Linked DNA regions of Pelodiscus sinensis. The protein of the gene in region 2 purifies or fractionates together with the protein of the main gene of each other region. This does not show direct contact. Links are inferred from orthologs where the notes say so. Each region holds a gene or a part of one and is shown on either strand. Other genes may lie near its edges.

Region 1 (7,129 bases), on a different chromosome or scaffold from region 2:
CACGTGACTAAAAGTTATTAGCCGCATGAAAGCAGAAAGGAAACACTTCTAATAGAGTGCTTTGCCACTCCCAGCATTATCTCCAAAATGACTTACCTATTGGTGAATTGAAATATAAAAATGGCGGCTTTGTGGTCAATGCCAACTGCGATTAACTTGATTGCCTATTCCTAATAATGTGCCCAGATCAAGCCTATAGTATTGTATGTGATCTGCTAGACAGACACTCACCCCGATCCATACCTCAGCTTGCACCTAAAACTGCTTCCAACTGCTAGTGTATAAAACTGAAAAATGAAAACTAAATAGTATCACAATTAATAAATAAGGGAAGGATCTTACACTTGCCAAAACCCAGAAGAATGGAGACTTGTTTACAGAGCTACCTGAGGTTACAGTGGCCTTGTGCATGAAGTGCAAAAATGCTTATAACGAGCATACCGATTACCATTCCATAAACACATCAGAACAGCAATTTTAAAATGAGCTGTGCTCAGTGAATTAGAACATCCACACAACAAAGTAAAAAAAAAAAGCTTAAAAACATTCAAATTAAACTCTAGGTCAAATACAACTCAACAACTACTTCAGGCTGTGCGGGGGCAGCAGCAGCACGATTCATTTAAGTATAGAAGTAGCCACCCGAAACATACAGTTAACCCCGCCCAACTCAGCTAGTGAACAGCTCCACTTCTAACTACAATGGAAGTAAAAATCGGCATCCCACCACACTCTTTAAAGCTATCAGGATTATTTATATCAGGCAATTTAAAGTTTCCTTTTTTTCCTATTCCCACAGCCTAAGCACGATTAGACCTGCACAGCACATGCATTATACATCAATTTAGACATATAAAATTTAGTGGGCATTTATATTAAAGTTAATGCCGCAGTTCCACACACTAATGAAAGAGCTTGTTTCCTTTCCCCGTATGTGTGTGTATAGCAATAATAGGTAGCAGAACTTCAGCTACATTTCTTTCCTAAGCAGCAGACTTGTCACATTAAAGAATATATATCCAAATAAATGCAAATACATTCGAATTGTTATCAACAAGATATCTGATGTACACAAATACTGCATGTGAACATACAGATGCACACCTACTCTGTGTAAAGGCCTTAACTGACTTCCCTTGCAAACCAGTCAGAATACTGCAGTACACGGAACGTTATACTATTAAAAACACACAACTACGCGCCAATCAGTTTTTCTGACAGTCATTACTAAAGTATCTGTCGGACGGGAGGGAGAAAGAGATCCGGGTTTAGGAACAGAAGGAGGTTTGTTAGGTTTCTTTGCGGAGAGCAGTAGGGACACTGCAGCCCCTCCCTCCTCTCGGTCCCTGCGTTGTATACAGGGCCACCCCACGTGATCCAGGCGGACGTTTCAATACTGCTGCACAGACACACAAAAATATTTCTGGAAACTTCCACTCCTAATAATTTACAGATTATGCCCCTAATTTCTCGAGTTCCCAACACTGGCTCCAGCCCCACACTTCACATATAATCAAAAGCACAAAATGACCACCATCTACCCCACCCCCACAAGCCTTCACAGCAACCTCCCCACACCACGCTCCTTCTTTCCCCACACCCATAGCATCAGTGGTAGAATTTGCTCTCTAGTCAATTGCAAAGCCGACACGTCTGATGTTTGTAGCCCGAAGACCACGCGTCTCCCGCCCTAAGTCTTACACCCATTGTGCCTTGCCTACCCGCGACTTTCTGCCCTCCACACACCCACCCTCCTGCTGAGAATCCCTTTTAACCCTCCCACTTCCCCCCCCCAAATACATCCAACCCCGCACCCCAAGATTTTCACCCCATAAGAGTTACTTACCTAAATAGTTATTACAGCCTCGGCCTTTAAAAAATGCGGGCGGGGGGAGTGAAGTTTCCAACCACACCAAAAAAAAATTGAGGAGAAATCACACGCGCGCGCCCTCTCCCCGACTGAGCGTTTATTGGTGTCACCCTTCTCCCCCCCACCGCCTCCAAGCCAAGCGTGCACTGGGCTGCTTGTATGACTCGCTCAGCGCGGGCTGCTGCTAACCCCTGGCCAGGCTCACTCGCTCCCTGCTGCCCCTGGCTCCCCCTACAAGGACTCGGCCCCCAACTACCTGCTCCCGGGCCTAGGCCGCCCAGCGCAGGGGATGGAGCCCCTCCCTTCCCGGCGGCTTGGCTCTGGTTCCCCAGGCCCGGCTATCTGCTTTCCTGGGGCTCCTTGAGTCCCGAGCTTCCCAGCCCCGCTGCTTTGGTGGGCCCCGGGTCTGTCACTCCCCAGGCCCCGGGCTCCTCTGGCTGAGTCTCTGGTTGCCCGGGCCCCTGCTTCTCCCCTTGATCTGGCCGGGTCTCAGTACACCCCCATTCCCCCCCCGCTCGCACTAAACTTTGCCCCGGCGGGTGTGTCGGCGGCTCCCCCTGCGGGCTCCCCTGTGAGCAGGTCACACACACAGCGGCGGAGGCAGCAGCGGCGGCAGGGAGTGAGCGCAGCGTTTCTCCCCCTCCTAGTGCCACAGACTCGGAACCGGCTCAAACCGGTTCAGACTGGGAGATTCCATCTCGGTTTAGTTTTCAGCCCATGGCGCCGCGAAGCGTTTGGAAACCTCAGGCCTCCGCCCAGCTGCTGCTCCCATTGGCTCCGAACACAGCCGCTGCGCAGGCGGCCTCGCCTCTCATTGGACAAGAGGACCGTCCGTCTGTGCGCTGCCGAGAGGGGGGGGTGGGTAGGAGGCCCTGCCTCTTCTCTAGCAGCGATTTGCCCGCAGAGGGGGGAGGTGGCGGCGCGGCAGCCCTCGTTGACTGGCCGCGCTTAGCTGTCGCTCAAAAACGATGCCCGCCCACAACTCCCGACCCGCGGGCGCAGTTTTTACCCACCGATGATTGGCTGGGCGCTTGGAATGACGTAGGCGTTCGAGAGAAGCTTTTACGACGGTGCGTTGAGAAGGGCGCGCGGTTGCGTAGAGCGGGTAGTGAGGCCCCGAGAAAGCGCGGGGCGAGGGAGGGAGAAGGGGGGGGTCTTCTTGGCCTGCGACCGGCACGAGATTCCTAGGCGCGCGTAGGGCCCTGTCGCCGGATGGTGCCTATTAGGAGCAAGAGCTTCTGTCTTCGCGTTCGCTGGGAGCGAGCAGGGCTAGTGGGCGCGTCTGTGGCTGGCTCCAAGGGCAGCGGCGGAAGGGCCGGGCACCCCACTGTGTGTCTCAGAGGGAGCCCCTCCCCGCCCTTCTCCTCGCGTACGTCTACGGCCCCATCACCGTAGCGTGTCTCAGCCGTTTAGAGTCCGTTGACCCAGCAGCCCTTTGAGGCTGGGCGGTGCCGCCCCGTGCAGCGCAGGGCAGCGGCTACAGAGCCTCGCCCGCGGCCCACAGCGCAGGCAATCCATGGCCTCTTAGCGCTCGATTCTGAATGGGAGCGTTGGGACAGCCGTCTCCTGCTCTCTGGTGGCTGAAACTGGCCACGCGGGGAGTGCGACGCTCTTCAAGAAGCAGTTCGCTGACAAAGAGTCGGGAGGGAGGAGGCATTGAGGGGGAAACGCAGGCTAATTATAGAGTGACCATATGAGCCGCTGGGGCAGGGCAATCTTTTTTTTTTTTAATGCCCTGCCCCGACTTTTTCTGTAGATTTGTCCGTTTCCTCCTTTCCTGAGCGTCAGTGGACAAGCGCAAACTGGACAAAGGCACAGGTTTGCCAAAAATTCGGGCTGCGACCCCTAGCAGGACAGTGTTAGGTGGGAGGGAGAATGGGGTGGAGGAGCAAGTGGGGTTTGAATCCGGCCCCAAGTGGCTGAGAGTCTTGGGCTGGCTGAATGCACAGGGGATAGAGGAGGGGACTTGGGCTTGCCCCACATGCAGGTGGGGTGTGGGGGGTGGCCTGAAATCGGTTCCACACGCGCAAGGCATAGGGACTGAGGCCAATCCTGCACATTAGGGAAAGAGGCCTTGGGGCAGCTATGGGAAGGAACCTTGGCTCACACCTGTGACATGTAGGGATGTAAAATCCCATTTCATTGGCTAACCTGTTAAACTTTGTTTAACGTGTTAACTGATTAAAGGGGAGTGGGGCACTGCTCCAGCCTTGCTGGGCTGAAGTGGCCCTCCCTGCCTAGGCCTGGCCAGTTAAACTTTCATGTCCTTAATGCAGTGGCCATTTTCCCTTGGGGGGGGGGGGAGGGAATATGGTCACCTTATCTAATTAGGAACACTGAACCCCACATTCCTGATTTGCAGTAGCATATATGTGAATGTTTGTTTACAATTCATTTTAAGTAAGTATTTACATAAGATATACGGTTCCCAGAATCAATATGCCAGGTAGTAAAGGCTATTCAAATGCTGCTGAGGAAATACTGTAGGTAGGAGTTTGTGTTATGAAATATTATTAATTCTTAATGGGAGAAAGGAAGTTTGAATCTTTTAATGTGCTTTAAAAAGTATTTAATCTTCCTATAAAAGTATAAATTTTTACCACATGTATTCTAAAACAGTTTTATTTTTCAAGTGGTATTTGAATCACCATCACCATCACCACGATTTGAGCACCAAATAACTTCTTGTGCAAGCAACCTTAGCAACATAAAAGTGATGCCTTTCAGTTGTAACATACTTTGTCATTTTGGTGCACTTTATGAAAGGTAGAGCTATAGATGTGGATTTGATTCAGAGGAGTTGAAGATGCTGCTTAGAAAGTATATATCCAAATAAGAGTAAAAACTACACAAGTGTCTAAATACAAGTTGTATATATTTTCACAAGTAACTATTGATGATGGGATGGCTAACTTGAAACTCTGTAAAAGACATTTCACTGTTTGCCCTCATAAAATCAAGTTCCTTTAAGATGATTAAACTGATATCCCCAAATCACTAATTGCCTCTGAAAATGTAGGTCAATTAGTCTTTTAATGTACAAACAGCTGTGGCACATAATACTTCTGGTGACATGCATTAGGGAGGTGAAGGTTTAACTGGTTAACCCATAAGCCTCAACCTTAATGGATGAGATTTACCGCAGTTAAGGTAAGCTGGTGGGGGCTGGAGCAGCTCCAACCCCACAGAGAGCCCGCCGCAGGTAGAGACTCTGGCATCCTTGCTGGACCAGCCTCTGCCCTTGGTGAGCCTTGGTACCTTTGCAGACAGGAGCTGTTCCGATTAGGATGCTGGAGCAGTCACTGCCTGTGAGGTGCTCTGGCCTGCTGCAGTCGGGCTGCTCCAGCATCCCAGCCAGAGCAGTTCCATGGCAAGCTAGGTTGCCCTGCAGGCAGGGGCTCTTTTGACCAAGATGCCAAAGCGGCCCCTCCCTGTGGGGTACCATGGTCCACCGCAGGCAGTCTGCTGTGGTGGTGAAAGGGACTGCTAGAGCAGCTCCTGCTTTTGGTGGATGAAAGAAGGGGGGCAATATGTTTAACCAATTAGTCAATAAAATGAGAAGAACTCAACCAATGCTTATTGAAGTTCAGTACTTTCTATTCTGCTCTTGTTCTTTGTTTACTATGAAGCAAAATGTATGTTATACTCTTGCTAAATTCTTTAGAACTACTTAATCAAGATTCCTCACTTCACATGGAAAATACTTAAACATTAGTTCTATTAAAGGTGGCAGATGAAACATACATTGACACCTAAGACTATAACTGATATATGGTATCATGAGTAACTTAATTATCACATTATGAAAAACTTAAAAAACAACTAATAGTTTGGTAGCACTTTAAAGACTAACAAAACATGTAGATGGTATCATAAGCTTTCAAGGTGGGATAATTTTAAATACAAACACAAGATGACATTCCAAGGAAGAAAAATTATAAAAAGCAGCCTAAGAACATCAACAAAACCTGTTTTTACATGAAGTAACTGATTCCCTTTGTAAATACTGCACCCTGATGATTGTATCATTGAAGGTAACAGAGTAAAAGTTCTTTGAAGGGATTAGTGTGACACTTAACATCACTGCATAGAGAATTCTCTGGAGTTATGTACTACTGGCTAAAGTGTATCTGTAAGGAAACTTAATTTTGACTGCCAACTAGGGCTATTACTTACTGTTTAAAAAGTTAACTGGTTAAATGCTGTTTAACCAATTAATCCTCATGAGGCTCCCCCGCTCCTGGTGTGATGCGGTGGGCCCAACCAGACTGTAGCCAGCTCCACACTGCACCCAGTAAGCATTCTAGTAAAGCTCATGCTTACCCAGTAATTACCTTTATATCCCAACGTAGCTCTGTTTTCGTTCTTTCTAGAAAACATACTGAAAGTCTATTTAAAAAAAAAAAAAAACCACCTTTGTGACTTTTCCAGGTATAAAGGTCCATTAATTGTCTCCTGCTACGCAGGACTGTGACTTCTGGTAATGTGCAAGACCTACTGGATAGATTGTAGCAACAGGGTTCCCAAGCTGCAGTGGGATAATTAGGGATATGCATACAATCATTTTGGCATCAGCCCTTGTTACGGAACAGGTTATTTTTCCAGGGAAATGCAAGCACTGGTAGGTTGCTGGAGACACTTCAGTGATATCATTATTGGCTGGCCAGAAAAAGTGTATGATTTTTGCAACTTTAGGAACACATCTGTTCAGAAATCTGGAAGCAGGGATGTTCTTTCCCAGCCTCTGCATAGAAATGCCAGCAGTGACTGGGGTGATCCACAACTATCCCTTGGTCCCCTGGCTTATGAAACCTTGTGCTGGACACATCAACAGCTCCAAGAAAAGATCCACCTGCTCAGTGTAAGTGCAAAATGACAGATGCAGGTGAATGTTTTTATGGCAGATTGAAGGGACACTGGGACTGTTTACTCACAAGATTGGAGCTCAGTGAGAAAAATGTCCCGGGGTTATAGCTACCTGTTCTGAATAATATAGGTGGAAAAGTTGCCACTACAATGGAGAGCAGAGGTGGGTGTCTCACTATCTGAGGGCTAGTCTACACTAGAATCACTACAACAGTGCAGCTGAATTGAGGTAACAACTGCTATAGCATTGCTAGTTCAAATGCTAGTCTATGCCAGTGGAAGGGAGCTCCCTGTTAGCATAATTACTCCTCCTCCCCAATCCAGAGTAACTGTCAGCGGGAGAGCAATAGTGCTGTCCATTAGGTTGGTGTAATTTACTTGCTCAGAAGTAGC
Region 2 (8,006 bases):
TTTAAACGAGTATGTCAGAACTGTCAATTTTATCAAATCCATGCCATTCCATGCTCAGCTGTTTTGCATTCTTTGTCAAGAGAAGGGGTCAGATCATAAGGAATTGTTGCTTCACACTGAGGTTCACTGGCTTTCAAAAGGCAAAGTACTTGATGGATGCTTTGAATTATACCCATTTAATAAGTTTTTCTCTGATCATTCATCCCTGTTTGTTTCTGTGTTTGACAACATCCTGTGGTTAGTACAACTTGCCTACCTTGCAGACATATCTAGCAAGCTGAATGATTACAATTTGTCCATGAAAGGCCATGACACCAACAATCTGAATCTTTACGATAAAGTGAATGCTTTTATCAAGAAAACTAAATTCTGGAAGTCCAAATGTCAAGTCAAAGACTTTACCTGTTTTTCAGTGTTTTATTAATATATCACGGAGGCCTAAATAGGGGAAACTGAGCTGAGCAAAATGATTTCTCCAACATTCAGCACAACTCAGCTCAACGCAACTGGGTAAGAAACCTTGTTCATCTTGCCAAATGTTAGCAGCAGTAACCTCTCTGCTGGACAGCAAGATTATATTCTTCAGTTTTCCCTCAGGCCATAGTCTGCAAATATAATGATTCTACACTAACCTAGTTCTGGTGTTCAATGCAGAAAAAGAGTACATTAACTGTGGGAATCATGCTTTGGGAGGTCTGTTATCTTTCAGGTCGGCATATCTTTGAACAGTCTCATTTTCTGCTATGACTGCCACCGAGACACAATGTGGAGAAAAACCTCTAACTTGCTGTCACTTCACTGTCAACCAAAAGAATAAGGCTCACAAGTGAAAAAGAGGCTCAACTACCACACTGGAATATCGCAGAAACATTTCAATCAATATATTTTGCAATTATTTGGCAAAAATGAGAAAGTCAGAAATGTTGCAGTAATAGTGCACTGTGACACTTTTGCATTTTTATACCTCGTTTTATAAGCATGTATTTTTAAGTGAAGTGAAACTTGAAATACAGACAAGAAACCAAACTCCTAAAAAGAACACAGAATTCTGGAAAAGTTGAGAACCACTGACTTAAAGCATCCCCAGCAAATAGAGAGTCATGCCAGTGGTCCCCAGCGCGGTGCCCACGGGCGCCATGGCGCTTGCCGGGCAATTTCTGTGCAGCCGCCGAGTGAATGGGACCAGCCCCGCCCCCACCCCCGGGTGCATGGGCGGTGCCAGCCCCCTGGGCACACGGCGTATGGGCAGCGTCGGCCCCGGGCGCGCAGCACATGAGCGACCCCGTCCCCAGGTGCACAGTGTTTGGGTGGCCCTGCCCCCGGGTGTGCGGTGCAAGGGCTGTGCCGGCCCCGGGCACACGGTGTTTGGGCGGCCCCATGCGTGGGCATGCGGCACATGAGCAGCGCCGGCCCCAGGTGCGGAGAGTTTGGGCAGCCCTGCCCCCAGGTGCATGGCACAAGGGCGGTGCCGGCCTCTGGGCGTGCAGCACGGGAGCGGCGCCGGCCCCGGGAGTGCAGCGCATGGGTGGCACCAGCACCAGGCACGTGCACAGCTCCGCCCCTGGGTGCGTGTGTGACCCTGCTGCCAGGTGCCCAGCGCCTGAGTAGCCCTGCCCCCGGGCACCTGGCAGCCCCAAAAGGTTGGGGACCACTGTTCTAGCCTAATATGGCGAAATGACTTTCGTCAGCAAGAATAAGACATATTATAAAATGGGGACGAGCATATTTCATAGCCGCGTTTTAACATAGTTACATTTGAACCATGTGGAGGGCTTTCCAGGACACCAACCCCAATACCTGACAAGCAATGCTTACAATCATCTTCTTGTAGAGCCCATAGTGAAGCACCAGACTGTGGGTCAGTGCCAGGCGATGAGGCTTCATGGGGTGCCCTGCGCCTGGAAACAATAGAGGCGATCAGCACCCACAGATCATACACTGGATTGCAGCCAGACACCCCACTCCCCTGCCCACAGGCCCAGCCCCCGACTCCCCCACAGGCCCAGCCCCCCTTGCAGGCCCAGCCCCCCCGACACCCCCAATAGGCCCAGACCTCCCGACTCCCCCACAGGCCCAGCCCCCCTTGCAGGCCCAGCCCCCCCGACCCCCCCACAGGCCCAGTGCCCCCTGCAGGCCCAGCCCCCCCGACCCCCCCAACAGGCCCAGTGCCCCCTGCAGGCCCAGCCCCCCCGACCCCCCCAACAGGCCCAGACCCCCCGACTCCCCCACAGGCCCAGCCCCCCTTGCAGGCCCAGCCCCCCCGACCCCCCCAACAGGCCCAGCGCCCCCCGACCCCCCCACAGGCCCAGCGCCCCCTGCAGGCCCAGCCCCCCCGACCCCCCCACCAGGCCCAGCCCCCCCCGACCCCCCCACAGGCCCAGCGCCCCCCGCAGGCCCAGCCCCCCCGACCCCCCCACAGGCCCAGCGCCCCCTGCAGGCCCAGCCCCCCCCGACCCCCCCAACAGGCCCAGCGCCCCCCGCAGGCCCAGCCCCCCCGACCCCCCCACAGGCCCCGCCCCCCCCCGACCCCCCCAACAGGCCCAGCCCCCCCGACCCCCCCACAGGCCCAGCGCCCCCTGCAGGCCCAGCCCCCCCCGACCCCCCAACAGGCCCAGCGCCCCCCGCAGGCCCCGCCCCCCCCCGACCCCCCCAACAGGCCCCGCCCCCCCGACCCCCCCACAGGCCCAGCGCCCCCCGCAGGCCCAGCCCCCCCGACCCCCCCACAGGCCCCGCCCCCCCGACCCCCCCACAGGCCCAGCGCCCCCTGCAGGCCCCGCCCCCCACACAGGCCCCGCCCCCGCACCGTAGTGGAAGTTGCCCACGTCCGGGTCGTAGAAGTAGGCCACGGTCTTAGCCATGGCGCGGCGCCGCCAGCACCCGCCGCCCCGCTCCGCGCCCCGCCCACAACCGGGCACGTCACCGCGCCGCCCCGCCCCGCCCCCGGCGCTCGCACGAGCTCGCTCGCCCGGCGCTGCGGCTGCGCGGGTTGGCCGGGGGCGGGGTCCGGCAGGCTCCTGGCGCGCGGCTGCGCCCGGCCCCGCCCGCTGCAGGGGGAGTCGCTGCGCGCGCAGCTCGCGCGAGCTCCCGGCCTGGCGCCCTGCTCTCCGCTGAACGCCACTGAACAGGGGAAGGAGGAAGTGGGCGGGGCTGTCCGTGCCAGGCTCCGCCCCCAGCACCGCCCCGCAGTGCCCATTGGCCAGAGGCAGCGCCGAGCCGCCTCCTCGTGGGAGCTGGAGGGGCGAGGCGCTGCCCCTGCACGCCCTGTATTGACCGGCCAGGGGAGGGGCAGGGGGCAGGGCTCAGAGCACGTGGGAAGTTGGCAGCTCAGGGGCCTGGGGGCAGGAAGCTGAGCCCTCCCCAAGGCACAGCCACAGAAATAAGTGGGCCAGTCTTTAATAGTGCTGTGAGGGGGAGCTGAGGTTCCCGGCCCTGCAGCCCCGCAGCAGCAAGAACAGAGGGTTTATTGCTTCTCCAGGGCACAGCCCAGCCTAGACGTGATGGCTACAGCTAGACTGGCATGATTTTCCGCAAATGCTTTTAACGGAATTCTCATCGCAATAGAAAGGATTGTCCCAAAAAAGCTATCGGACAGCCCTACGACAGACTACTGAGGCAGCTGCTGTCTTATGAATTAAGAGTCAGTTTCAGGAACGTGCCTTTCTGGAGAGGAGCTAGCCAAAATGTAGCAATTTGCTGACAAAATCTCCCCACCACAATCTTTTCTTCTTATGTGGGTCTGAAGGGAACGGGAACTGTTCTAGGCAGACTCATCTTATCCATAGGATGGTATGGGGCGGCTGCCCCCAGACCCTGTGCGTTGGGGGCCCCAGTGGCAGCCACCTGAACCATCCTATGAATGGGACCTGCAAGGCCTAGGGCAGCTGTTGGGATTACCTGGGGGGGGCAGGGCACAACACCCCAGCAGTGGTCCCCGTCCCAACCCCGCACTCGCAGCAGCAAGAGTCAGAGCAACCTGCTCCACTCTGCCCCATGGCCCATCTCCCAGCCCACATCGTTCCAGTTCAGCAGTGGCCATGGGCAGGGGCTCCAGGCCCCTTTGAATGGCCTGGCCCTGGGGCAGCTGCCCCTTTGCCCCGTCAGCGGCCTAGTTGCGCGTGGCTTGGAAGCGTGCCTCTCTCGCCAATAGAAGATGATCCAGTACAGTGTCTCCAATCCCTGAGACTGACACAGCTACAACTGCACATTTGAACACGGCCAGACAAGCTCTGTTGCTCCCACACATCCAGGCCTTATTGCTGATGACCCCAGAGCCTGGCTGTCCCCCAGCCCTCGGCCTGCACATCCCTGTCAGTCCCTGGCACTGGCAGGCATCTTCCCCAGCCGAGTTCCTGCCTGGGTGTGGCTGGGGCAGGAAGGGTGTCAGTCAGGGCGTTCGCACTGCTGTGGGCTGGGCAGGGTGTTTGCCGCGTGTGACCAGTGACTGCGTGAGAAGCAAAGTGCAGCGCAGCCTCTGGTCATTTTCGTCACTTTGGGCAATAAGCCAGAGGCCCAGCGCCTGTGAAGGCCCCATCCCTCTGAGGCACCCCTGACTCACAGCCCTGCTTGGCTAGAATGCAGCTGTTGAGGGAGGTCTCAGCTGTGAGGCAGAGGTTCTCAGGCAGCCAGGGCATGGAGGGCTTTGACCATGGCAGCAGAAATCCAACGCTGCCCTCAGTGTCCCTAGGCAGCCAGTGCGGAGTGGAGTGCTGGGCAGATATACCCTGGCAGGCTGCGCCGCTGTGGACTAGACTAGCTGGAACATTTCAGGGTGAGAGGTTTCATTCCTCAGTCAAATGAGCCACAGTCCCCAAGCCCAGAGGTCCTGAATTCCTGGGCTGACAGCCAGGTCTGTGCCTGCTCGGATGGGGGCAATTGGCCGCTCCGTTGCATATGGGAGTCGGCACTTTTGCCTTTGTGGTGTTGGGGTATTAACAGCGTTAAAGGGGCCAAATGGCACTGATGCCTCTGGCAGCACGAAGCATTGGAAAGGAGGCTGGGGTGGCACTGGCAGACCAGGTGGCAGCTCATGCCCAAGTCCCAGGCCTCACTGGACGCTTACAAATGCCTGGCTGGACACAAGGCCAACGCAGCTCAAAGTGCTTGTTCGTATGGGAGAAGGTCTGGGGCATTTAACCCTCCTGGAACGGCATGGATGCTGCCTGCTTTGCTGTCACGTATCCGTCTCCCATTACGGTGCAAGAGCAAACACGGACCCTGCATGCAGCCCTGCCACTAAATCCCCAGCCAGGGAGAAAGAAGCCCTGGGTAATGCAAATGAAGAACTTTAACCACAAAGGGCATAAGTCTTGTTCATTGCAACGATGCAAAGGAACTGGCAGATCGCTATGTCTCTGCTACCACTTGAGAATGGGAGACTGAGACTCACTTGCACAGGTATTTCACCGGCTCTCACCTCTCAGTAACTCCCAGCGAGTCACCCTTCAGAAAGCCGCTCTGGACCAGCACGGCTTTGCTGGGAGAGCGAGGCTACAGACTGAGCCAGGGGACTGACTGGGGACTGAACTGAACCTGCATGTGTAGAATCTTTGTCACACAGTCCCGCTTGCGTCTAGGGGACGGGCTGGGGCTTCGTGGTAAGGCCCCTGCGCTGTGGCGGGAGGTCACATTGCTTGGTGCAAGCTAGTTACAGAACACGCCCCAGTCGCCCTGCTGCTGGCCGGCCGCTCGGCCCTGGGCTTCCAGTGCTTTTCCCTTGGCCCTGCTCTGGGCTCTAGCCAGCTGCTGCTCACCCGGCCACTGCCTGGGCAGGACACAGAGCTGGGTGCCCCTGAGCAGCTGCCATGCACCTGGGTGGTCTCACCAGCTCTCCTGATGGGTTCTTATCCCCTATTAAATACCAGGGAGGGGGAGGGGGTGAGCTGCCAGGAGGCCTCTGCACTCAGGGCTTTGGGGCAGGGCGACCTTGCGGGACCTTCCGAGAGGAAGTGTCCAGAGCTGCTTCAGGATCCCCCCTCCCCCCGCCCTGCCTGGGGGGATGGGACAGGAGAGCATGGTGACCAGCAGTACCACACTCTGCTGCCCCGCCAGCTGGGCCAGTCTGGGGCTGCACTTGCCCTGACTAGCAAGAGGCTGGGCCGGGCTGAGCTGTGCTGTGCTGTGCTGTGCTGGGCTGGGCCGGGCCGTGCCGGGCCGTGCCGTGCTTGTGCTTGTGCTTGTGCTGTGCTGTGCTGTGCTGTGCTGGGCCGGGCCGGGCCGGGCCGGGCCGGGCTTGTGCTTGTGCTTGTGCTGTGCTGTGCTGTGCTGGGCCGGGCCGGGCCGGGCCGGGCCGGGCCGTGCTTGTGCTGTGCTGTGCTGTGCTGTGCTGTGCCGGGCCGTGCTTGTGCTGTGCTGTGCTGTGCTGTGCTGTGCTGGGCCGGGCCGTGCCGGGCCGTGCCGTGCTTGTGCTTGTGCTTGTGCTTGTGCTTGTGCTGTGCTGTGCTGGGCTGGGCTGGGCTGGGCTGGGCTGAGCTGTGCTGGGCTGGGCCCGGCAGGGCTGTGCTGAGCTGTGCCGGGCTGGGCTGTGCTGTGCTGGGCTGGGCCCGGCAGGGCTGTGCTGAGCTGTGCCGGGCTGGGCTGTGCTGAGCTGTGCCGGGCTGGGCTGGGCTGGGCTGGGCCCGGCAGGGCTGTGCTGAGCTGTGCCGGGCTGGGCTGGGCTGGGCTGGGCCGGGCCGGGCTGGCATAAGGCCCGGCTGCAAGGGAGCCAGGAGAAGTTGGGTTTGTCAGTAGACCCTTGTGAAATCTCAGCCAGCACCAGCCAAGCACACTGGTGCCACCAGAGCCCGGCTCTCACCCCTGCTGGAGCCTGCTGCTATTCACTGCCCCCCAGCGCAGAGGACTCGGCCCCCTTCCCTCCCAGCAGGGGCCCTCTCGGTAGCTCGGCTGCCGCTTCGTCCCTCTACTGCGCCTGGCGCCCGCCGGGCACGGGCGGGGGAGGCGGAGGGGGGCGGAGGGGGGAGTTGGAAACGGAGGCGCCCGCTCTTGTTCCCTGATCCCCGCCCCCCCGCGCCGTGAGCAGCCTGCAAACGCTGGCGCCGCACCTGCCTCCTTCGTGCCTCTCCCGCCCGCCGCTGCTGGCTTGTCCCGCGGGGCTCCCCGATTCTCCCCTCCCGCAGCGCCAGGGCTTTGCGGGGGTCCAGAGAGGGGGCGCGAGGCCGGGCCGGGCACAGAAGGATGCTCCGGCCGCAGCCCGTGGCAGGGATGCTGGGTTGCTAGGCGACAGGTGAGGAGAAAGGACCGATGAGCGGCGGCAGGAGGCTCAGGTACCAGACGCTGCCCCGGCATGGCAGGAGGGCGAGAGGCGGCTGCTGGACCGGGCTTCCGGGACAGGACCGGGACTGGCGGCCACGACGGACGCTGAAACCCAGGCAGAGCCTCCCCTCTCCCCTCCCCCCCGGTCCGGCTGGCGCAGGGCTCCGGACGCGGCCCCCCCCCCCCGGTCCGGCTGGCGCAGGGCTCCGGACACGGCCCCCCCCCCCGGTCCGGCTGGCGCAGGGCTCCGGACACGGCCCCCCCCCCCCCGGTCCGGCTGGCGCAGGGCTCCGGACACGGCCCCCCCCCCCCCCCGGTCCGGCTGGCGCAGGGCTCCGGACGCGGCCCCCCCCCCGGTCCGGCTGGCGCAGGGCTCCGGCCACGGCCCCCCCCCCCCCGGTCCGGCTGGCGCAGGGCTCCGGACACGGCCCCCCCCCCGGTCCGGCTGGCGCAGGGCTCCGGCCACGGCCCCCCCCCCCCCCCGGTCCGGCTGGCGCAGGGCTCCGGACGCGGCCCCCCCCCCGGTCCGGCTGGCGCAGGACTCTGGACACCCCCCCCCCCCCGTCCGGCTGGCGCAGGGCTCCGGACACGGCCCCCCCCCCCCCCCCAAGGTCCGGCTGGCGCAGGGCTCCGGACACGCCCCCCCCCCCCCGGTCCGGCTGGCGCAGGGCTCCGAGCCGGGCAGACGCTGCCTCGCTGCTCCCGCGCCCGCCGCTGTGAGTGGCCGCCCGGCGGGAGCGGAGCAGCAGGCGGGAGCG
Region 3 (6,868 bases), on a different chromosome or scaffold from region 2:
AGACACATGTCCCTCAGCTCCTAGGGCAGGGGTGGGCAAGATACAGCCCGTGGGCCGGACCCAGCCCGCCAAGCCTTTTAATCCAGCCCACGGCCCACCCTGCCAGGACCCTCAGGCACGGAGCAGCTCCACGCCACTCAAAGTGGCTCTCTATGTCCACTGGCTCCCCAGCCTCCTCCCACACCATGAACCAACCCCTCATTTCTGGCCCCAACCTGGAGCCTGCAACCCAAGCCAGAGCCTTCATTTCCTCCCACCCTCCAACCAGGGATGCAAAACCCCAGTTAGTCAGTTCACCATTTAACCAATTAAGCATCATCCGGGCAGGCCCCCTGCGGGGCTGGAGCAGACCCCTGCCCACAGCAGATGAGGAATTGCTCCAGCCCCCACCAATAAACTGGAACCGGTCAGTATCACCCAGTATGGGTAATGCTTACTGGTTAAGCTTTCACATTCCTAACCAGGGATGTGAAATTACACTGAATCAACTAGTCAATGGAATTTCCACCAACTAGCCGATAAGCGGGGGAAACTGCAGAACTGCAGCTAGCTTAGCTCCCAGCCCCAGGAGCAGAAGGGCAATGCGGGGAAGGGACCAGGTGAGAGCCAGGAGAGCGGATTCCCAGCTCACAACTGGTTCCTCTTGCTGCACTTCAGCCTTTTAAGAGCCTGCATGTAAGGCTATGCTTATCGGCTAGTCGCCTACATAGCTATCCCTAACTCCAACCCTCTGCCCAGTGAAAATGAGCAAGGGACAGGTAAAAACTGTTAAACACTAGCCATGTAACGCAGGGGTTCTCAAACTTTGTGCTACTGCGACCCCCCCCCCCCCCCCCAAGTTGCTTGCGACCCCCCGGGGGGTCAGGACCCACAGTTTGAGAATCGCGGGTGTAACCAATTACAATTTCATCAGTTACAGGGGCTCAGCCAGCCCTGCAGGAGTTTAACCATTAACTGGAAGCGATAAGCATCAGCTCATGCCTCAACCTCTCACATTCCTAGTGGGAGATGGAGTGAGTGGGGTGCCAGGCCTGGGAGAAGAGGCCATGCTGGGGCAGAGCCTCAAGGAAAAGGCAGAGCAGGGGTGTTTGGTTTTGTACTACAAGTGGAGCCTTTCTAGTCTGGCACCCTTGGGACTTGACTGGTGCAGAATCAGAGAATTTGCCCAATCATGGGAGGTCAATATTGTCTAGCAGGATTACCAACACTCCCACCGCTTCCTGGGCTCAGGGTCAATTAGAGCTAATCAACAACAGCACAGAACACTAAGAGCCAGACCTGGTGGCTGTAAACAAACTTTATAGGACTGTAGGAAACTCATCCACTTACCAAGGGTGTGGCCATCTGGTTCACTAGAATCCTAGAACTGGAAGGGACCTGGAGAGGTCATGGACTCCAGTCCTCTGCCCTCATGGAAGGATCAAGCACTAAAATCATGCCAGACCGCACATGCTGCCGGACCAGAGAGGTTCAACCTTTCTGGCAGCAGGTAGCGAAGGCCAATGAAGGCTAAGCATTCCCTAACCGAGGCCATGGGCCTACTCATGCTCTGTCCTGAGGCCCCTTCCTCACTGCCCCTAAAGCCAATGGGGGCTCAGCTCCAGCTGGCCAGCGGTTGAATCACAGGGCAGGGATGCTCTGGCCAGTGCTCAGGCCAAAAGTGGGGGGTGCCCGGGGCTCCTCCAGCTGAAGGAGGGCACTCAGAGCTTGGGGGGGAGGGGGGCACGTCCTCAGAAAGTTTGTTTCTGGGTAAGAGAGAAACGGCTCCCTGCTCCCCCCAATGACTGCAAACCCATCGCCCCTGGACACTGGACAGTGACTAATAACAAAAGCAAAACGACAGCATCGTTTCCTGGCCTGGCGACGAGACCCACGCAGCATCTATACTGGCCTCGGAAAGAAAGGCGATGCCCATCATCCCAAGCTGCTCTTAGGCCTTGTGAGGTGGGCCCCAGGCAGCGCGAGCCACACGGAGCTTTACAAGCACCAGCCATAAAGTTTCTCCAAGAAAAGACACCGCAGCAGCTTTCCCCCCACCCACTGCAGGTACCAGGGAGCAGCATCAGCTCCTAACCAGAGCGAGTCCGTGACACAAGGAAGGGTGCTCAGCAGCTGGGCCAAGCTTTTCAATCCAACCCCTAGGCAGATGCTAGGCAATGGGGACAGAGCAGAGCCCGGCTGGCCGGCTCAGTTTCCCTCGACCTCCATCGCCATCAGCTCTGGAGCAAGAGGCTGCCCGAAGGAAACCAGGAGCCAGCATCACAAGGGAGCTTAGCCTCCACGGCAGCACCCAGCCAGGGCCACTGACGCCAGGCGAGGGGCTGGGGAGAGCCTGTATCCCAGCCAGGCTGATGCAAGACAAGATGGATGTGCGAGAGGGGCCGGGTTCCGGCTGCCACTTTCAGTTTCCTCATTCTAGGGCTTGTCAATCTGGCTCTAGCGCTGCCACCGGCCTCGCTCCTCAGGGCCCCAGCAGCGTGAGAGAGATGCCAGAGCCCGGCAGGCAGCACCCATGGGACCCGCTGCCCCAACTCTAGGCTCCTAGCAGCCTTGTCCAGCACCCATGGGTGCAGATGCCCCACAGCCCAGCCCTGCCCTGCCCTGCACCCATGGGACCTGCTGCCCCCCCCCCCGTGGCACGACACTGCCCCCACTGGAGCAGCACCCATGGGCAGGCACCCCTGGGTGCAGCTGTCCCCCCCAGCCCAGCACCCATGGGCTCAAATGTCCCCTCCCTCCCAGCCCCAGCCCCCGCCCCCAGGGAGCAGCTTGCTCCCCAGCACCCACGGGTGCGGCACCTTCACGCACTCATGCCACAGGCGCCCCCCGCTTTGCCTGCAGCCCCAGGGCCCCTGCTCACCCGCGGGGACGGGGCTCCCAGGCTCCGGCTGCCTGGGGCGCTCGGCCTCCTGCTCCCACCGCGGCAGTCCAGAAACCTGCTGCCCCCTCGGCCTCGGCCCCGCCCCCATTGCATACGTCACGGAGCCGCTGGCCAATGGCGCGCCGCCTTTGCTCATTATTCACGGGGGGCGTAACCTCTCGGCCAATCGGCACCTCCCGTCTCTGACTTGATTAATTATTTAGGATTGGCGGGGGGGGGAGGGTGCCCCTAGTTGGCTGTTCCGGCGCGAAGCTTCCCCTCCCACCGCAGGGCCGAGCCGAGGGACACGGGAGCCCGGAAGCCTCGCGGGGGGAGCGGCAAGTGCCGGGAATGTCCATGCGGGAAACTCAGCTGAGTTCCGGGCAGCGCCTGACGTCAGCACGGCGGGGCTGCCGCTGGCCCCGCCTCTTAAAGGGCGAATGGCCGCTATGGGGGGGGGGGGGTAATCTGGGGACAGGCTGTTTACGGGGTATGGGGGGGCGGCACTGGGGGAGAGGTACTTGGGGGGCTGAGCCTGGGGGGCACATGGGGAGGGGTACTTGGGGGGGTTGAACCTGGGGGGCACATGGGGAGGGGTACTTGGGGGGCTGAGCCTGGGGGGCACATGGGGAGGGGTACTTGGGGGGCTGAGCCTGGGGGGCACATGGGGAGGGGTACTTGGGGGGGTTGAACCTGGGGGGGCACATGGGGAGAGGTACTTGGGGGGCTGAGCCTGGGGGGCACATGGGGAGGGGTACTTGGGGGGCTGAGCCTGGGGGGCACATGGGGAGGGGTACTTGGGGGGCTGAGCCTGGGGGGGGCACATGGGGAGGGGTACTTGGGGGGCTGAGCCTGGGGGGGGCACATGGGGAGGGGTACTTGGGGGGCTGAGCCTGGGGGGCACATGGGGAGGGATACTTGGGGGGCTGAGCCTGGGGGGGGCACATGGGGAGGGGTACTTGGGGGGCTGAGCCTGGGGGGCACATGGGGAGAGGTACTTGGGGGGGCTGAGCCTGGGGGGCACATGGGGAGAGGTACTTGGGGGGGCTGAGCCTGGGGGGGGCACATGGGGAGGGGTACTTGGGGGGCTGAGCCTGGGGGGCACATGGGGAGGGGTACTTGGGGGGCTGAGCCTGGGGGGGGCACATGGGGAGGGGTACTTGGGGGGCTGAATCTGGGGGGCACATGGGGAGGGGTACTTGGGGGGCTGAATCTGGGGGGGCACATGGGGAGGGGTACTTGGGGGGCTGAGCCTGGGGGGCACATGGGGAGGGGTACTTGGGGGGCTGAGCCTGGGGGGGGCACATGGGGAGGGGTACTTGGGGGGCTGAGCCTGGGGGGCACATGGGGAGGGGTACTTGGGGGGCTGAATCTGGGGGGGCACATGGGGAGGGGTACTTGGGGGGCTGAGCCTGGGGGGCACATGGGCAGGGGTACTTGGGGGGGTTGAACCTGGGGGGACACATGAGTAGGGGTACTTGGGGGCTGAACCTAGGAGGGCACATGGGAGGATACTGGGGAGGCTGATCTTGGGAGAAGGGGCACATTGTGGTGGGGACACACGGGAACTGGGCCTGAGGAGGGTGAGACTGGAGGGCAGGGGCCTGGTGGGGGAGTACAGAGTGGGGGAATGAGTAGTCCTCAGTTTCCACAAGGAGGCTGAAACCCTGAGTCCTCCCCAATGGGACCGGATTCCTTGGCTCCTGGACATCAGCATTACTCCCAACTTGGCCCCCGTGAAATCGGGGCAGCCTTGTGTGACCTGACCTCCCTGAGAGCTGCCAGCCTCCCCTTATTTCCTCATCTCTGTACAGCAAGCCTGGGAGTTGCTGAGTGCTGCAAAAAGCAGCAGGAAATCCTCCTGGGGAAGGGAGCCCTGCTAAGTGTCCTTAACAATACTGATGGTGATAATGAGGGAGGAAGGGCGGGGTGGCGGTGCTAAGGAAACAGCCCCCTTTTTTCAGAAATCCAATGTTAATGGCACCTCAGCCTGCCAGTTTAGGACAGGAAGTGAAGGGAGTGGGAATTTTAGGGAGGCAGAAATAGGCCACATAATCCCTGCAGTTTGTTTCTGCTCCGTGTGTCTGTGCCTTGGATGGGTGTTTGTGTGGCACATCTGGGGGGCTGCATGAGGCATGTCTGCGGCATGACCTACGGCCCCTTCTCCCTTCCGGCTGCTAGCGGTGGGGAGGGATGCACCATCTGACTAGTCTGTCTGGCTGATCACTTCACTACTCAGGGCTTTGGCCACTCTAAGCCTGCTACAGGGGATTCCTTTCCTGCCCGAGCTGCACCAGCTTGGTCCGGGACACACAGGACCTTCCAGCACTAGAATCCCTGCCTCTTGCACTGGAGCAGTGCTTGGGGGATGGGCCAGGAGGAAGTTCTCACTCCCAGAACCGGTCAGTACAAGACCAGAGGCTTCTCGCTCTCTCATTGTCCTTCAGGGGCCTGAGGAAACTGAACCCTCACCAGTGTCCGCCCTGCTTCAGAAGAGCCAGAGATGTTAAGTCCCCAATGGACCGTTGTGTCCTAATCTGGCTTCCTGCACAATTTAGGCGAGATAACCCTGCAGCCAGCCCATATCTTATGACTGAGCTAGCGCGTGTGTTTTAGGAGACCCCAATCTTGATTGCTGTGGAGTAATTTCGCATGAGGATGTGGTCAGCTTCCCTCCTGGCCCGTCCTCTGAAACCAAGGTGCAGCGATGGTTGTTGAGGTGCCTAACACTGGTGCCTATAACAGACAAGCTCTAAGGGGCATGTGATGTCAAAACCTGAATGGTAGCGTGTCACTGCCGGGTGGGGAGTCACCAGGCCCTGCACCCACATCTCAGCCAGCCAGTAGAACAGAATATTTATTCGTTCACAGGGTTACAATGTAGAAGTGACTAGAAGCTCAGGATCTAGAAGCATCTTGGGGAGCAGGGGCCCAGAGCCAGGGCCTTAGGCCCCCCCTCCCTATATCCTAAGCCAGCCGAGACTCATTCACACACTCAGCAACCAGTCCCAGCCCTGCAGGCAGCCCCGCCTCCTCCTTTGTCAAGTTTCCTGGACAAAAGGTGTCACCTGGTTGCGCGCGCGCGCGCGCACACACACACACACACACACCCCTTCCCAGGCTCATTTACCAAAAGCCTCAGCCATTGTGTATGTGCTGGGGACTACTGGGGCAGCCTCCCTCTTTGAGAATCACACCCAAACTTCCCATCCCCATTTAGCTATTGGTGCAGTGCCCAGGGAAACTGAGGCACGCACACAGGGTTACCACAGGACAGTAGAAATCACATGCAACAGGCCAGAGAGAATGCCAGCCCCGCTTTGTCACATGGTGTCCTTTGGGGCACCCAAACCACAGACACCTATCAAGATTTGAGACTCAGTTCCAACCGAGCCAGTCACGGCATTGAAATCTCTGAGCACGAGCAGCGCGGCATGAGGCGGAGCGGCCTGGGTGTTTGCTACTAGCTGGCTGTACAGTGCTTCTGTTTCCACAGGCGATGCGGCATCTGTCAGTGCGTAGGCCCAGGTGGCAGATAAGTGTCTGTGACAACGCTGGACAGAGAATTTCACCCCCACGTGCTGAGGCTCCAAGATGCTGCCCATACTATGGGGTTGAACATCTCATGGTAGAAGACCAAGGTCCAGAACCGTGGTGCCCCAGGCCTCCCTGGGCAGATGGGGTTGAGAATTCTGGGGCGCCCTGATGGTTCACAGGCAGCCAGCAGTGTTCAAACAGCCACAGCCAACGGGGGCGTTCGTCTGTGAACAGGTTTCGCCGCCTCCTGCACGAAGTCCGTGTCTCGCCTGTGGATGCCAAGCCGCCTGTGTGCTGAGCGAGTTTGGAATCTCTCCCACCTGTGTCCTGTCCGCGACGCTGTACCGGTCTCAAACCAGGGCCCTTTCCCTGGCTACCCCAGCAGCACAAGATGGTTTGTCTTTGTGCAAAAGGGCCCAGTCTTTCAACCATCGGGCCTTCCTTCCATCACTCAGCGTGCCCGAAACTGCA
Region 4 (7,739 bases), on a different chromosome or scaffold from region 2:
AGACTCACTTCCTCATATCAAATAGTGGAAGAAAATTGGCGTGACCATATATACCAAAGGATACAATCAAAAAAATGAACACATATGAAAAGGACAAATCAAATTTCAGAACAGAAGGGGGTAAGGGGAGGAGGTAAATGTCTGTGAGCTAATGATACTAGAGGTGATAATTGGGGAAGCTATTTTTGTTATGGGTAAGATAATTAGCATCCTTGTTAAGACCTAGGTGTAACGTGTCAAATTTAATCATGAAGGATTCTCTGAATTTGACACTTAGGTCTTAACAAGGATGCTAATTATCTTACCGGTTACAAAGATGGCTTCCCCAATTATCACCTCTAATATCATTAGCTCACAGACACTTACCTCCCCCCCCCATCCTCCTTCTGTTCTGAAATTTGATTTGTCCTTTTCATATGTGTTCATTTTTTTGATTGTATCCTTTGGTATATATGGTCATGCCAATTTTCTTCCACTATTTGATCTGAGGAAGTGGATCTGGCCCACGAAAGCTCATCACCTAATAAACCATCTTGTTAGTCTTTAAAGTGCTATATAGTACTGTTTTTGTTTCAGCTAGACCAGACTAACACAGCTACATTTCTATTACTATTCTTAAAAATACCCTTTCCTATCTCTTTGTTTTCTGTTTGCTCTGTTCTATCTTCATGCGCCTATCTTTTGCTAGAGCCCATTCCCATTTTCCTCCTTTCAATACTAATATTTTATGCACCAGTGTGTTTCTAGTTGGCTGTTGCCTATGGTTAACACTTCTCATTGTCAAATATCTGTCTGGTGCTATCAGTGGTACCCACTCACAGCGACTGCAATAAGGCCTACTGAGGGAGGCTTCTTCCACCTAATTTCATTAAAATGCCCTAAATCCAGCTGACAATTTTTCCCTTCAGTTGAATGGCCAATTATGGGAAATGGGATAATATACTCTGAAAGTGATTTAAATTAATTTCTGAAGTTTCAGAGGAGTAGCGGCGTTAGTCTGTAACAGGAAAAACTTCAAAAACAACAAATAGTTTAGCAGCACTTTATAGACTAACAAAACGTATTGTAGATGGTATCATGCGCTTTGTGGGCACAGCCCACTTCTTCAGATTATCAGAGTTAATTTCTGAGTTGGTGTAGAATAATACTGTGGCTAGCTAAGAAGTAACAATAGTTACCACCATACAGAACAGGGTCGATTTTGAGGGGGCCTGGCACCTGTACACATATAACAGACCCTGCCGCCTCCTTAAAATACCACAAAGGTGCGGGACCATCTCCATCCACTGCTGGTCAACCTGGGCTTGAGACACCGGGGGAAGGACGCACAATTCTAGCCAGTTACAGTGCACGCAGCTGGGACCGCATGGCTCATCGACTGGCTGTAAGCGCCGGTAAATCTCTGACTGGAATAGTTACGAGCCCGGATCTGAGGCTGTAACTGCAGCGACCTGCAGTGCGCGAGCTCTAAAACCACTTCCGCCCCCCCCCCCCTTCCCGACTCCAGTGCAGGCACGGATGTTGTGATCACATGACTGTCAGGGAGGTGGACAGGCCTCGGTTTATTGGTCGGGGTAAGATCACGTGGAAGGCAGAGGGTGAAGGGGTGCGAGACAGCTGCGATGATTGGCGGTACTGAGATTGGGGTGTAGTCACGTGAAGTGGAGGTTGCTGGCTTGGGACAAATAAACATGGAGGCCATCTTCCACGAGAGGGTGAGAGGGCTGTGGGGGAGGGGGTACTTTTGGTTGAGCGGGGGGCGGGAGCGGTGAGGGCGGAGCTGACAGCCTAGGTTGGACGGGGGGATAGGAGGGTATTTCAGAGAATTGGGTAGCAGCTGATGATTGGGCTGGGCTGGAGGAGAAGAGGAAGGGTGGGGTGGGGTGAGAGGTCCTACAGTCCTTCGTAGGGAGGGGAGTTAGTCAGTGGCAGTGCCTGGGGCGAAGGAATGAGGGGGGGGGGTTGCAGCCCATGGCTGGATGCGGAGGCTGATGAATTTCTTCTATCCCGTGGAAGACTTGGAGCAGGGTAGTACTTGAAGCTGTCTTTTTAACGCTTCCCAAAGCGACTACCTGACTCCATTGCCTTATCCACATTGATCTTGATGTTATATTGCCTTCTTCTATAACTTAGTGCTGATGAGGTTCCTCTCGAGTGGAAGGGGAAAGCCAGGTAAAATGACAGTTCAACCAGCTACACCTTAGAAGAAATCTAGGTACCTTTCAAAGGTGGTTACAAGCAGTGTCCATACTACTCCTTTTTATATAGTTTGTTTGCCATGGTGAGGTTTTATTTCTAGAACCTTTTAAAAAGTACAGAAAAAATAGTATTGTGCAGAATGAAGTTTTTACTCTCTTGAGACTGAAGAATGGCTTAAAATGAGAAATGCTTATAAAGATGAGCAGTGGGAGATGTGGGTTTTATTTGTGACTTCTGGCACCATCTTGCTGTGCCTCTGTTCATAGCAACCTCTCTCTGCCTCAGTTTCTGCATGTACAGAGTGGGGATTATGAAACCTGTTTCAAAGTAGGTGTTGTGAAGACTTTTATTTAATGTTAGTACTGTGTTTCTGAAGATGTAAAGCACCATATGAGTGCTAAATATTTTGTTTCCAATGGCAAATACTTCTGCTATTCATGATTGCCTTCAGAGTCCTAAACAGTAACTTCCATACCATTGCATTCCCATGTCTTGCTTATGTCTTGTGTACTTTAATCATTACCAATAACAAGTTTTTCATACTATAATTCTTAATAAACTTCCTTTTGTAAATGTAGGTTGCTCTAGTTACTGAGAGATACAGTAACTAAATCAAACCAAACTAGTTCCTATCTGAGTTAAATGCCCCTTCCAAAGAAGGCAACCTAAAAAACCACAACTTCTTTTGTTTTTAAAATAAGTTCCTATGGAAAGATGGCTTCACAGACTTGGAATGAAAAAAGTAATTCTGCTGAAACTAGATTAATAGGTAGAGTAGTATTAATAAGATCAAAGTTGCACAGGAATTGCTATTGTTTAAGTAGTGTAAGGTGCAATTATTTTACATCAGTGTGCAGTACAAGAAACGTGTATACATTTATGAAAACATTTGCTATTTGACAATGTAGTAATCCAGATTACTGAGGTGGAATTAAAACATCTATATATAAAAACAAAGTTTCCAGCGGGATGACAGAGTGATGTCGTCTGTCACTTTGACTCCCCCAGCCTCTCTCACCCCCGGGCTCTGTGGAGTCATCTGTCACATGGAAAAGTGGAGCTATAGGGAGCTGGGGGTGGGTGCTGTCTAGCCTGTGGCCACTCAAGCTTCTTTGGAGCAGGCAGTGGTGGAGCTGAGCTGGGGAGTAGGCAGCTATGAAGCAGGGTGGCCTAACTCCATGTGTGGCAGCCACTTCACAGCCTCCCTTTGCCCACTTGGTCCTGGGTGCCTTGGGTCACAGCCAGGAGCCACTTGAGAAGAATAGAGGCAGAGATGTCTGTGTCCCTGATGTGTGCCCTTGCCTGTGGGTTGCTGGTGGAGGAAGTGGGGGTGGATTGGCTCTCTGCATCCTCCTGCCAACAGGATACCTAGCTCAGTCCTACAGTGCATGGGGCATGCCAGGTTCCTTTGTCACTGACTGCATGGAAATGCTCCCAAGGGGCGCAGAGGTGAGGGGTTCCCCCACCCACTGAACACCTCCCCCCACACTGGGGCCTTCACCCACACCCCACCCCTGCCAGCTTCATGAGGCATAAGTTGGGGGCTTAGCTCTCTCTCCCCACCATGCTGCCCCCATTGGGCCTTTGTCCCCTCCCCCGCCCCAGACTCCATGCCACATGGGCTGGTGGTTTACCCCCTCCCTCACATGCTGCCGCCCCACCCAAAGGACTCCATATGGCTCAAGTTGGAAGGCTAATTCCCTTGCCCCCTGAGGGGTCACACAGGGACAGCCCAGCAGTGTTTGGAGCAACTGCCAAGCCAATGGTGCTGTTTTCTTGCTGGTTAGGTTTCCCATTTGTGGGAGAGGCAGAGCGTGTGGAGGGAGGGAGGAAGGGGGATAGGGTGATGTGGTAAAGGAGGATGGGGGTGAAGGGGGATATAGGAATGGAGGCAGGGGGATGGGCAGTGTAGGGGTATGGAAGGGGAGGGGTTAGAGAAGGATGGGAGGGTAGGGATAGGCAGGGGGGGAGAGGGGCTAGGGACAATGGTTGTAAGAATGGAGCCAAGGGGGTGAGGATAGGGATGGATGAAGGTGATGGGGAGGTTGAGAGGTTTGGGAGGATGGTGGGTATATGAATGGAGGCAGGGGTATGGGGGTAATAATGGAAGGGGGGGTGGACTGTGGGCCATGGAGCTCCAGGCCCCAGTTCCCTCCCCTCCCCTTCCCATCCCATAACAGCACATGCGCTTCCCCAGAAGCCAAATCCAGTGTGGAACCTGTGGCCGGGGGTGGAGATCCAAAAGGCTAGGGCTGACATGGCCCCATCCCTCACTGGCAGGAGAGCCAGGTCTGCTTACCCCCAGAGACAGGGGGGTTGGTGAGCATAGCAAGCAGGGGGCACTGTCCCATAGTCTAGTTAAATATCTGAAGCAATAAGCAACATATTCTATTCTGTTGTGACATCTGTTTTCATAGATTTTAAAGACAGAAGGGACCATTGTGATCATCTAGTGAGCCTGACCTCCCATGTAGGTGGAACTTCCTCCAAAATAATTCCTGGAATTTATCTATTAGAAAAACATCCAATCTTGATTTAAAAATTGACAGTAATGGAGAATCTACCACCACCCATGGTGAATTGTTCCAGTGGGTAATTACTTTCTGCATTAAAATGTATGCTTTATTTTCAGTCTGCACTTGTCAAGCTTCCACTTCCAGTCATTGGGTCATGTCTACCTTTGTCTACTAGACAGATGAGCCCATTATTAGTTGTTTGTTCCTTATGTAGGTACTTATAGACTGTGAGCATGGCCCCCCTTAACCATTTCTTTGTTAAGATAAAAAGATCACACTCCTTGAGTGTGTTGCTGTAAGGCAGGGCTTTGGAGGACCCCGGGGCTGCAATGATTCTCAAAGCATATGCCAAGGGCTGCAACTTCAGTGTGGTTGCATGGACATGCAGATAGCTTCTTTCACGTTGAGGGGCATGAATACAAAAATTAAGGCAAGACTACTCAACACACAGACCCCATTTAAGTCAGTTCTGCTGATATTAATAAAATGCAATATTTACCTAGTTTCCATCTATATGACAGCACTTTTAATGAGTAATGACAATCCAGGAATTTGATTACTAAAACACATATCAGCAGAAGACCATTATATTGACTACTTTTTTGTTTTGGCTCCCACCTGCAGGCCGCCTGTTGAGCCCTGCATAAATCCAAACCTCATCACGGACCACAAACAAACGGGCTGTGGGCCAAGTAGCCCTGCTGTAAGGCATGTTTTCTAATCCTTTGCTTATTCTCGTGGCTCTTTGGATAACCCACTTCTTGAATTGTGAACATCAGAACTGGAAACAATATCATAGCTGCAGTTGTGCCAGTACCAAAACCAGAGGCAAGAAAAACTTCTCTACTCTTACTTGAGAGTCCTTTGTTTATGGCCCCCAGGATTGTGTTAGCTCTTTTGGCCACAGCATTACATTGGAAGCTCATGTCTCGCTGACTGTCTACCACGGCATCCAAACCTTTTTTCAAAGTCACTGCTGTGCAGGATAGTGTACACCATCCTGAAAGTATGGCATACATTCTTTGTTCCCAGATGTATGTATTTACATATGGCAATATGGAAATGCATATTGATTGCTTGTGGCCAGTTTACCAAGGGAACTCAATTGCTCTGAGTCAGTGATCTGTCCCGTTCATTATTTACCATTAGGAGATTTACCTGGTATCGTTGGATCCTTAACTCAATTAATTTTTGCATTTCTTCTTTTAAATCAGGGGTTCCCAAACTTTTTGACACGGGGACCAGTAAATCTATTCATGAGCTTTTGGAGGACTGGTAACGTTCATTTGCATATTCAATAAGCAAAAGATGAATATTCAGATAAGTTGTTTCTGGTCCTCCCAAAGCCCCCAGTGCCAGCGTTAGCAAAGCTTTTGATACAGTCACTCACAATATTCTTGCCAGCAAGTTAAGGAAATATGGATTGGATAAATGGACTGTAAGATGGATAGAAAGCTAGCTAGACCAGGGTTTCCCAAACTTTTTACTTTAGTTGGAATCTGTTTTTTTTCAGTATTGTCTTTTGAAGTCCAAAAATATAAACGCATATTAAAAAAAAAGAATGAAAAATGAATAAATTTTCAGTGTTTCACCCGGCTACATTCTCCACCCAGCCTGGGCCAGGGCTTGGGGGACCCAGCGCCACATGAGCACTTCAGGAGGCGGGAGCACAGGCAGATTGGGGGTAGGGTATCTGGCTAGGAAGGAGGGTGGAAGGAAGGGTAGGGTTGCCAGGTGTCTGGTTTTGTACTGGACAGTCCGGTATTTGAAGGTTTTGTCTGGGAAAGAAATTACCAGACATATAAAATGCCTGGTATTTTCTAATTAGGTACATTTTATTATAATTAGGTGTATTATTCCTTAGCTGCCTGGCTGGTAGATGTGCTTACGCAGTCTGAGTGTGTCTACCTGCCAGGCAGTTCGCAACTACTCCAGGGAGGGTATGTGGGGGAGAGGGGGCAAAATGGAATCTCCGGCCAGACTCACTCATCTGCCAGGGTCTGCAGGGTCTGCATGTGCGCAGGTCAGTCCCGCTTCCCCCCTTTCTCTTCCCGATCTCCCCAGTCCAGCCCTCCTGCCCCTGTCCAGCCCTGCTTCCAGCAGCCGGTTCACCCACCACCTACCAATCTCCCCCGGTCAGCCCTGCTCCCCTGATGACCCCCCTTCTCCCCCACACCAGCCCCACTACCCCCGTCCAGCCCTGCTTCTGGCAGTTGATTCTCCCGTCCTCCTCCTCCTGATCTCCCCCGGCCAGCTCCCCCTATCCCCCGTGCAGCCCTGGTTCCGCCACCTGCCCTCTCTGATCTCCGCCACCGGATAGCCCCGCTGCCCCCAACCCTGCTTCCGCCGCCCACCCACATGCCCGGATCTCCACGGGACAGCCCCACTCCCTCAGTCCTGCTTTCGCTGCCCGCATTTCCGCGGGACAGACCTGCTGCTTCCAGCCCTGCTTTGGCCGCCCACCCACCTGCCTGTTCAGATCTCCACCAGGACAGCCCCGCTGCCGCCAGCCCTGCTTTTGCCACCTGCCTGCCCGCCTGGATCTCTGTGGGACAGCCCCGCCGCTCCCAGCCCTGCTTTGGCCACCCGCTTGCCTGCCCACCTGCCCGGATCTCCACCGGGACAGCCCCGCTGCCCCCAGCACTGCTTCCCAGCGGCTGGTTCCTCCCTCCTTCCTCCCAGCCCACCACGCTCTGCTCCTCTCCCGGCAGCCATGCTGAGGCCTGGTATTTTTTTCCCGCAGCTCGGTACTGGGCCGCGACCCATAGTTTGGGAAACGCTGTTTTAAATTATTACCTGGGGGTACAGTATGCAGGCTTCCCTGGGGAAAGAACTGCTCTCGTGCAGCAGCTTAGGGCCAGGTGAGAAGTCCTTCTCTATGGTTGTTACCCTCCACCTACTGGAGCTGCATCAGCTCCAGGGGGGTGGATGTCCCCTGGCTGCAGCTGGTCCAGGCACATCTGCACTCCATAGCCAGATTGAGGAATGGAGCAAACTGCACTTTCCACTTGTTACCTGGGAAAA

Evidence for each region.
Region 1: the proteins of HDAC3 (region 2) and XPO1 purify together in Homo sapiens (affinity purification with western blotting; 3 studies listed by BioGRID, with this or other methods). This does not show direct contact. The link is inferred for Pelodiscus sinensis from reciprocal best matches to the Homo sapiens genes HDAC3 and XPO1.
Region 3: the proteins of HDAC3 (region 2) and STAT3 purify together in Homo sapiens (affinity purification with western blotting; 4 studies listed by BioGRID). This does not show direct contact. The link is inferred for Pelodiscus sinensis from reciprocal best matches to the Homo sapiens genes HDAC3 and STAT3.
Region 4: the proteins of HDAC3 (region 2) and ATXN3 purify together in Homo sapiens (affinity purification with western blotting; 3 studies listed by BioGRID). This does not show direct contact. The link is inferred for Pelodiscus sinensis from reciprocal best matches to the Homo sapiens genes HDAC3 and ATXN3.

The regions. Positions count from the first base shown.
Region 1 is NC_134713.1:180,629,452-180,636,580, forward strand, and holds the start of XPO1 (exportin-1), read right to left. Parts: upstream 3,018-7,129; 5' UTR 2,884-3,017; intron 2,622-2,883; exon of another isoform or gene 1,847-2,621; intron 1-1,846. UniProt on the Homo sapiens protein: Mediates the nuclear export of cellular proteins (cargos) bearing a leucine-rich nuclear export signal (NES) and of RNAs.
Region 2 is NC_134727.1:1,035,192-1,043,197, reverse strand, and holds the start of HDAC3 (histone deacetylase 3), read right to left. Parts: upstream 3,006-8,006; 5' UTR 2,859-3,005; coding exon 2,804-2,858; intron 1,899-2,803; coding exon 1,816-1,898; intron 1-1,815. UniProt on the Homo sapiens protein: Histone deacetylase that catalyzes the deacetylation of lysine residues on the N-terminal part of the core histones (H2A, H2B, H3 and H4), and some other non-histone substrates.
Region 3 is NC_134739.1:9,061,900-9,068,767, reverse strand, and holds the start of STAT3 (signal transducer and activator of transcription 3), read right to left. Parts: upstream 3,013-6,868; 5' UTR 2,861-3,012; intron 1-2,860. UniProt on the Homo sapiens protein: Signal transducer and transcription activator that mediates cellular responses to interleukins, KITLG/SCF, LEP and other growth factors. Once activated, recruits coactivators, such as NCOA1 or MED1, to the promoter region of the target gene.
Region 4 is NC_134714.1:30,853,124-30,860,862, forward strand, and holds the start of ATXN3 (ataxin-3), read left to right. Parts: upstream 1-4,735; 5' UTR 4,736-4,750; coding exon 4,751-4,791; intron 4,792-5,339; coding exon 5,340-5,418; exon of another isoform or gene 5,419-5,543; intron 5,544-7,739. UniProt on the Homo sapiens protein: Deubiquitinating enzyme involved in protein homeostasis maintenance, transcription, cytoskeleton regulation, myogenesis and degradation of misfolded chaperone substrates.